Xenopus tropicalis: one gene and its partner. The protein of the gene in region 2 interacts with the protein of the main gene of each other region in a pairwise test. Links are inferred from orthologs where the notes say so. Each region holds a gene or a part of one and is shown on either strand. Other genes may lie near its edges. The genes, in order: c7orf31 and klhl40.

Region 1 (3,821 bases), about 32 Mb from region 2:
ATGATGTGCCTGCACAGTTGGTAATGTGAGAACCTTACTGGTTTGCTAATGGTTGTTGTCCCTTTACCAGTTTAATCAGGGCATTGGGCAAGGAATAGCCCCACTTATAAGGATTCTCTAGACAGATCCAAAAGGATATTAAGGACAAATATAAAAAGACTAATGTACAAACAAAGCTGTATTAAAAGGGGCATAAATTAATGGGAGGAGGGGGTTATTCTTCCACTTTACAAAGTGCTGGTAAGGCCCCATCTAGAATATGCATTCAATTTTAGTCTCCAGTGCTCAAACGGGACATTATTGAGTTAGAGAGGGTCCAGAGAAGGGCAACTAAGCTGGTAAAGGTATGGAAAGTCTCAGTTATGAAGAAAGACAAGTTAGGGCTGTTTACACTGAAGAAGAGGCATTTAAGGGGTGATATGATAACTATGTTAAATATTTAAGGGGATCATATAATAATCTCTATAATGCTTTATTTAACAGTAGGTCCTTCCAACTGACACGAGAGCACTGACTCTGTTTAGAAGAAAGGAGGCTCCAACTAAATATTCAGAAAGGATTTTTTAACTGTGAGAGCCTTGAAGTTATGGCATTCTCTCCCTGAATCAGTCGTACTGGCTGATATATTAGATTGGGTTATTGAAAATACCCCCAGGGACCAGTCTACTTGCATCTTGGAGTCAGGAAGGATTTTTTTCCTGTCTGAGGTAAGTTGGAGAGGCTTTAGATGGGGTTTTTTGTCTTCCTCTGGAACAACTAGCATTTTGGCAGGTTATATATAGGCATTACGGTTGAACTTGATGGATGTGTGTCTTTTTTCAACCTAACTTACTATGTTACTACGTTTTTACTACCAGTATATATGTTACAAACACAAGTGCAGCACACTAAAACAGATTGTGTGCACATTAACACCATTCATAAACGGTTTTTGTGCATATACTATGGGCAGAAAGAAGAGGCATGTGTCTAAGCACAATGATGTGGCTCACAGGCTGAGTCACTAACCACTACTGCTAGAATTATTTAAACTTTAGTCTTGAATACAAGAGGTATAGCAAACACATGGTGATGCAGCAGATTTTAACATCTCCATAAACCTGAGGCCATGCCCCTGCAAAAAGTGCAGATGTTCAAAATATTACTAGTTTTGTGAGGAATGGTGTAAGAGCACAGACCGTACTTAAACAAAATGATTGTGGTTGTACAAGTGTAAATATTTAGCAGGCTTGAAACGCAATAATATGAAAGCAAAATATCTTGAAAAAACAGCAAATAGAAATGAACAAGCAATTTAGCACATAAATATCTTTTCTTGCTCTCCTCTTCCTCATCTCTTTGAAGGATGCTTGGCCAGCAGCCCAAGGGGGAACTGAATATGAAGGCTGATCTGAATCTGCTTGGCTCTAGCACTGTGCTAACAGACAGAGCTGCTCTCCAACAACCCAGCACAGCTTTTTATGTTCCCCTCACTCTTTTTATTGGGTCCATTTATTTTACAGTAATCCAATGAATTGCAAAAAAGCAAAGTGGAAGTTAACGCAATTTACTAACTAAAAGTTAACCTCCCCACAAATAATTTCACTTTCATGACCCTTATAAGTTAACACTATAACACTACAAGTTAACAGGGCCAACCTGTTTGACAACTGTTGAGTATTTAAATAAAGTACATGCACAGTAAGTATAAAGATAGATTCTTTAAAGTTATTATAATTATGTTCAGTGTGATCGTACATGCAGGTACATACCATTCACAGGAAAAGTACATTATGAACCAGTGACTGACTCATGGGATGACCTGTTTACTTACAAATCATCGCTGGCACGCACTGCACTCTTTCTCAGCTGGGTTATGTCGTAGTACTGCTCAATTGGAAGCCCTCTGTAAATAGAGACATGGAAATTCTAACAAACACCAGAATAATATGTATGCAGTGACAAGTAAAGGCTGAGCTTGATTTGTTACATCATTACTTACTTACTGGTTATAGTTTTTCCAACCTGCTGTACAGGTAATATTTATGGGGGACCTTTTACAGACACCCTGGAAACAAAGTGCAAGAGCACTAAAGGGAGCAAATGTACGCCCCTAGCGTCTATTCTGAGAACATTTGCGTCCATAGGCTGGGTGCCCTCTGCACCCTGCACCAGTAAAAAATCCAGTGTGAGGGGCGAGGTGCAAGGCGCAGAAACAGCAAGTGCAAGGCAGTGTTCCCAGATGAGTGTTTCTCTGAACCTTACCCATCTGACTTTGGAGAGGACAGTGTAGCTCGCCAACAATAACTTTCTCTTGCACAGCCATGTCATTATGTGACAAAAAGCTAACATATGACCATTTAATAAATGGTGATTATTAAATCATGTGTAAAACTGAGTATTAATTTAAAATAGGGATGCTAATTGCAGGGGCGGGCCAAGCCGACCGGGCGCCCTAGTCAACCTGGTCGGCCACCCACCTGGCGCCCGCCAATAGTTGACCCCTAGGCAGCTGCCTCTTCTGCCTACCCCTAGTTCCGGCCCTGGCTAATTGTGTAATAACAGTATTTAAGTAATTTATTAGCTAGGTTAAGTCTACTGCTAATACCTCCTGTCTCAGGTACTGATTTAATTTGCAGTGCAAAAGAATGACTATTTCTCTGTATTATTTCTCTTAGTGAAACCCGTGGTACCCGTAATTCTGCAACAGTATTAAATTATATTTGTTTTACACTGGATTAATCTAAGGGGTGTTAATGCTATCTTCACTATAACTGATACTAATGCTTCAAAAGAAGAAAATTTGATTGTTGCGCTTATTTGTTATTATTTGCTGAGCAAATAGGTGGCATTGTGTAATGTTATGTCCATTTACCTTGGCCAGGGGTCTCCCCCATAGCCATAGTGCTTGTGCCCCTTGGCTTCTTGAGGAGGAGGTTCTGCCTTTGGTCTGTGATTGTTCGGAAGGCACACTGGACCTATTCCCCCATATTCTCTTTCTCTTCCCCATGGAAGCCTCGCTGGTGTGCTCAACTTGGAAAGATATTCTTCATAGCTGTAAATCATCATTTCAACAACTTTATTTATATAGTTCAGGTTCTTTTCAACTTGTAACAAAATGTAACAATCTAGGATTCCAGAATAAAATGAATCAGTGGGCCCTGATTACATGATTTTACAATTCAGTTTGAAATATTCATTAAAAAACAGAGGAAGGATTTTTTATTGAGTCCCATTTCATTTAATTATTTCATTAATTACTTAAGGTGGACACTGTAAGCAATATATTATGTATTCTTGTGGATAATAAACTTGTGTGAACAAGCTAGCCAGTCAGCAGTAGTAAGTGCCAGCAAGTTTTGAGCTGTATTAAAAGGTGAATAGATTAAAAAGACTAAAGGATCATCTTTACAAAACACTGGTAAGGCCCCATTATGAATATGAAGCGCAGTTTTGATTTTCAATCATTAAAAATAATTTTAATGAAACAGAGAAAATCCATAGATCAGTAAAGAATACAAAGGGTATGAAAAGTGCTAGTTATGAGGAAAAACTGACCAAATTAGGATTGGGATTAGAAGAAAGGAAATTCCATTTTCATATGTCAGAACATGGAACGTGGAAGCTGTGGAATTCTCTCTCTCAGTTGTACTGGCAGATACATTAGATAGCTTTAAGAAGTGGATGGGTGGCTTTTTAGCAAGGCAGGAAATATAGGGCTACTGAAATCAGTTGTTACTACAAGTTGATCAAAGGACTGGTCCGACTGCCATCTTGGAGTCAGGATGGAATTTTTGCCCCCCTTTTGCGGCAAATTAGAGAGGCTTCAGAAGGGTATTTTG
Region 2 (4,339 bases):
AGAAAGGGTACATGGTCAGGCCTGTGTATGGCTGCTTTCATTCATAAGTCAGATCTGTTCCTCTAGCTCCTTGGCCTGGGGGTGAAATTACTGGGCGGTGGGCTTCGGGGGCTAATCAGTAATTTTATCCCTTCTCCAAGACCTGGGTATGGCGTTGTATAGCACCAATGATTTAAATCTGTCTAATGGCAAAGGGTCACTGTTGGCCCCCATCTAATTTACAAACTCCCCCTTTCCCCACTTCTCTGATCATTTATCTGATATTGGTGGTGCAAAATGGAACACTTCTTTAGATACTAGGTGTCTAGTATAGTAGGTATAGTCTGTTCTGGTATAGTAGGGAGAGATGGTGCCTATAGTAGCAGTGGGGGGATAATAGCCTCTGGGAAGGGACTGGGGCTGTGGGATAGCAGGTATAGTAGGGAGAGATGGTGCCTATAGTAGCAGTGGGGGGATAATAGCCTCTGGGAAGGGACTGGGGCTGTGGGATAGCAGGTATAGTAGGGAGAGATGGTGCCTATAGTAGCAGTGGGGGGATAATAGCCTCTGGGAAGGGACTGGGGCTGTGGGATAGCAGGTATAGTAGGGAGAGATGGTGCCTATAGTAGCAGTGGGGGGGATAATAGCTTCTGGGAAGGGACTGGGGCTGTGGGATAGCAGGTATAGTAGGGAGAGATGGTGCCTATAGTAGCAGTGGGGGATAATAGCCTCTGGGAAGGGACTGGGGCTGTGGGATAGCAGGTATAGTAGGGAGAGATGGTGCCCATAGTAGCAGTGGGGGGATAATAGCCTCTGGGAAGGGACTGGGGCTGTGGGATAGCAGGTATAGTAAGGAGAGATGGTGCCTATAGTAGCAGTGGGGGGATAATAGCCTCTGGGAAGGGACTGGGGCTGTGGGATAGCAGGTATAGTAGGGAGAGATGGTGCCTATAGTAGCAGTGGGGGATAATAGCCTCTGGGAAGGGACTGGGGCTGTGGGATAGCAGGTATAGTAGGGAAAGATGGTGCCTATAGTAGCAGTGGGGGGATAATAGCCTCTGGGAAGGGACTGGGGCTGTGGGATAGCAGGTATAGTAGGGAGAGATGGTGCCTATAGTAGCAGTGGGGGGATAATAGCCTCTGGGAAGGGACTGGGGCTGTGGGATAGCAGGTATAGTAGGGAGAGATGGTGCCTATAGTAGCAGTGGGGGGGATAATAGCCTCTGGGAAGGGACTGGGGCTGTGGGATAGCAGGTATAGTAGGGAGAGATGGTGCCTATAGTAACAGTGGGGGGATAATAGCCTCTGGGGAAGGGACTGGGGCTGTGGGATAGCAGGTATAGTAGGGAGAGATGGTGCCTATAGTAACAGTGGGGGGATAATAGCCTCTGGGGAAGGGACTGGGGCTGTGGGATAGCAGGTATAGTAGGGAGAGATGGTGCCTATAGTAGCAGTGGGGGGATAATAGCCTCTGGGAAGGGACTGGGACTGTGGGATAGCAGGTATAGTAGGGAGAGATGGTGCCTATAGTAGCAGTGGGGGGATAATAGCCTCTGGGAAGTCTGCCCAGCACCCAAAGCGGGAGGTAATGCTGTAGGCAATGGGGGGGGGGTGGAACTAGGGATAGGGAAAAGAGGTACAGTATGTCCCTACACCTCCCTCAACCGTTGCACCTAGGCACATACCTCTTCTACTTACCCCTACTTATAGTAACCCTATATTTGGTAGAAACCACATTACTGTTTCACCAGGAGACAAAGCGCAGGCAGTGACCCCCCTTCCCTCTACCCCATGATTATACTGGGGGGGGGTAAATATATACACAATACTCTCCCCCAATCAACACAAATGACTAAAGACCATACCTGCAGGAAGTAAGAGCTCAGTGGGTCGTCCTTGTTTTCCTCATTATAATAAAGGCCGCCAGCTACAAAGAGTTGGTTCTCCTTAGTGGCCAGGCTGACGTGGTTTTTGGGGATCTGGGCGGAGAGTGAGGCGAAGAAGCATTCGTTAGCGCTTGGGTCGTAGGCCACCGCCCCAGTGTCGCTGATCATGAATATCATATCCTTTAGAAACATGCCGAACCTGAGCGTGTCGTTCAGAATTCCAGGAAGGGCTTCTTCCTCTTCCTCCAAGTCCCCGTTGACTACGCCTTCCCCATCTTTGCCCTCACTCGCTTTTGAAGGGGTTTTCTTTACGGCCGCAGGTAATTTTCCTTCTTGGGCGTCTTTGACCATCTGGAGTTTCTTCAAGAGTTCCTTGTCGGACTTGACCAACTCGTGCTTCTCCACCTTGTTCTTTATATAGTCTTGGGGTATAAGGCGGAAGCGAATGCTCTCAAAGATGATGGGCAACGCCTTGGCGCGTTTTTCTTTCTCTTTCAACGCCCATTTCAGGACCACCTCAAAGACTTCTTCTTCCTTCTCAATGTTGAGGGAGTCGCTGGAGATAACGGCAATCAGCTCATCGGGGGAAAGGTCGTAGAACTCTTCGTCTCTGGCAATCAGGTGGAATCGGTCGCATACAAAGTCCCTGGCGGAGACGGCCAGACGGGGACAATCCAACAGCAAGCCCAGGCGGAATATGGCCAGACAGTTGCTAAGGCAGAGCTTCTTCTGGAGGAAAGACACACACACTGTGAATATCGAGGGGATCTGGAACATGTTGGCCACCGAGAATATGTCCTGGACGTTCTTCTCTGTGATCTCGATCTCAGAAGTGTAGATATAATGGAGGATCTTCCCCATCACGTCTGGATCGACATCTTCTAGGTCAATTTCCTTCTTCTTGCCCTCCTCCAGGTTGGAAAGGAACATGGCTCGGAAGTAAGGGCTACAGGCGGCCAGCACCAGGCGGTGGCAGGGAAACTCCTTGCCCTGGATCTTTAGAACACAGTCTATAAAGTTGTCGTGGTCCAGCATGTCCTTGAGTCCATCTTGGAGCAGAGTTTGCTGGTAGAGGCGCAACTCATCAGCCTGCTGGGTCGGTAAGGCCATGGCTTGGTTCTCCTTTGCCCTCAGAGCTCGGGCAGCGTCGGAGTTACAGCAAAGAGTGAATGAATCAGAAGGGAAGGAGGAATTTCTTTTCCTGTTGGAAGCCTCCTGCTTATCCAGCTGACTTTGCTCTTCAGCTGCGAGTCTTTATATAGAACAGCCCCATTACAAAGCCCCTGTAAGACGATCACTCTCTGACACATTGAGCTCCCTGGTGGGACAGCTGCCCCGGGCCGACTAGAAGCACCAGGAATTTGCGCCGGATCGTGACTCATCACCCCCATGGACCTTTTTTTTCTGTCTCCTCGTTACAGAGAAGCCTCTGACGGCTTTTCCAGGGAAACGATTCACAGCATTCGGACCAATGTAATGAGCCAAAAACTGCCCATGATGGCCACATTGACAGAAATAGGCATACTGTCACCTTGCGCTGCAAGTTGGAGTGATATCCCCCCCCCCTCACCCCCAGCAGCCGATCAGCAGAACAATGGGAAGGGAGCAAGATAGCAGCTCCCAGTAGGTATCAGAATAGCACTCAATAGTAAGAAATCCAAGTCCGGCTTGGGACTCCTCCAGTTACACGGGAGTAGGAGAAACAATAGGTTAGCTGAAAGCAGTTCTAATGTGTAGCGCTGGCTCCTTCTGAAAGCTCAGACTCAGGCACACTTTACTGCTGCGCTGCAAGTTGGAGTGATATCCCCCCCCCCTCACCCCCAGCAGCCGATCAGCAGAACAATGGGAAGGGGGCAAGATAGCAGCTCCCAGTAGGTATCAGAATAGCACTCAATAGTAAGAAATCCAAGTCCGGCTTGGGACTCCTCCAGTTACATGGGAGTAGGAGAAACAATAGGTTAGCTGAAAGCAGTTCTAATGGGTAGCGCTGGCTGAAAGCTCAGACTCAGGCACAAGGCACTGAGATGGCGCCTACACACCAATATTACAGCTACAAATACATTTATTGGTTGAAGAATAAAAGGTTAAATGGCAGAGGGAATTATTTGCTGTGTAACAGTGTCATTTAGAGATAGCAGAGGGGGCGGGGCTCCTGTATCAGGACTCTCTGTACCAATTGTGTGAGTGCTGCTAATCCGGCTGGGAGTTAGAGTCCTGTTAGAGCGCTGGCAGATAGTGAGGCAGTGATGTGGGGGCTATAATTAATGCCGGCTATGGCCGTCGGTATGTACAGCTGCTGGCTAAAAATAGGAGCTCAGTAAGGGCCCTGCAGTTTAAAATTCTTGCCATGAATCAAACTACCCCAGGGCGGGGCCCTTCCGGCCCTGTAATCATTCTAACGCTCTGATTGGATACAGGTTGGTCTAGCCCTGGGATCATTCTAACGCTCTGATTGGATACAGGTTGGTCTAGCC

The links.
Region 1: the proteins of klhl40 (region 2) and c7orf31 interact in a two-hybrid assay, tested with the Homo sapiens proteins (2 studies listed by BioGRID and IntAct). The two-hybrid records come from large-scale screens. The link is inferred for Xenopus tropicalis from reciprocal best matches to the Homo sapiens genes KLHL40 and SPMIP4.

Annotation. Positions count from the first base shown.
Region 1 is NC_030682.2:41,121,976-41,125,796, reverse strand, and holds part of c7orf31 (uncharacterized protein C7orf31 homolog), read right to left. Parts: intron 3,035-3,821; coding exon 2,855-3,034; intron 1,886-2,854; coding exon 1,814-1,885; intron 1-1,813. UniProt on the Homo sapiens protein: Microtubule inner protein (MIP) part of the dynein-decorated doublet microtubules (DMTs) in flagellum axoneme. May serve to reinforce and thus stabilize the microtubule structure in the sperm flagella.
Region 2 is NC_030682.2:9,354,112-9,358,450, forward strand, and holds the start of klhl40 (kelch-like protein 40), read right to left. Parts: upstream 3,018-4,339; 5' UTR 2,976-3,017; coding exon 1,845-2,975; intron 1-1,844. UniProt on the Homo sapiens protein: Substrate-specific adapter of a BCR (BTB-CUL3-RBX1) E3 ubiquitin ligase complex that acts as a key regulator of skeletal muscle development.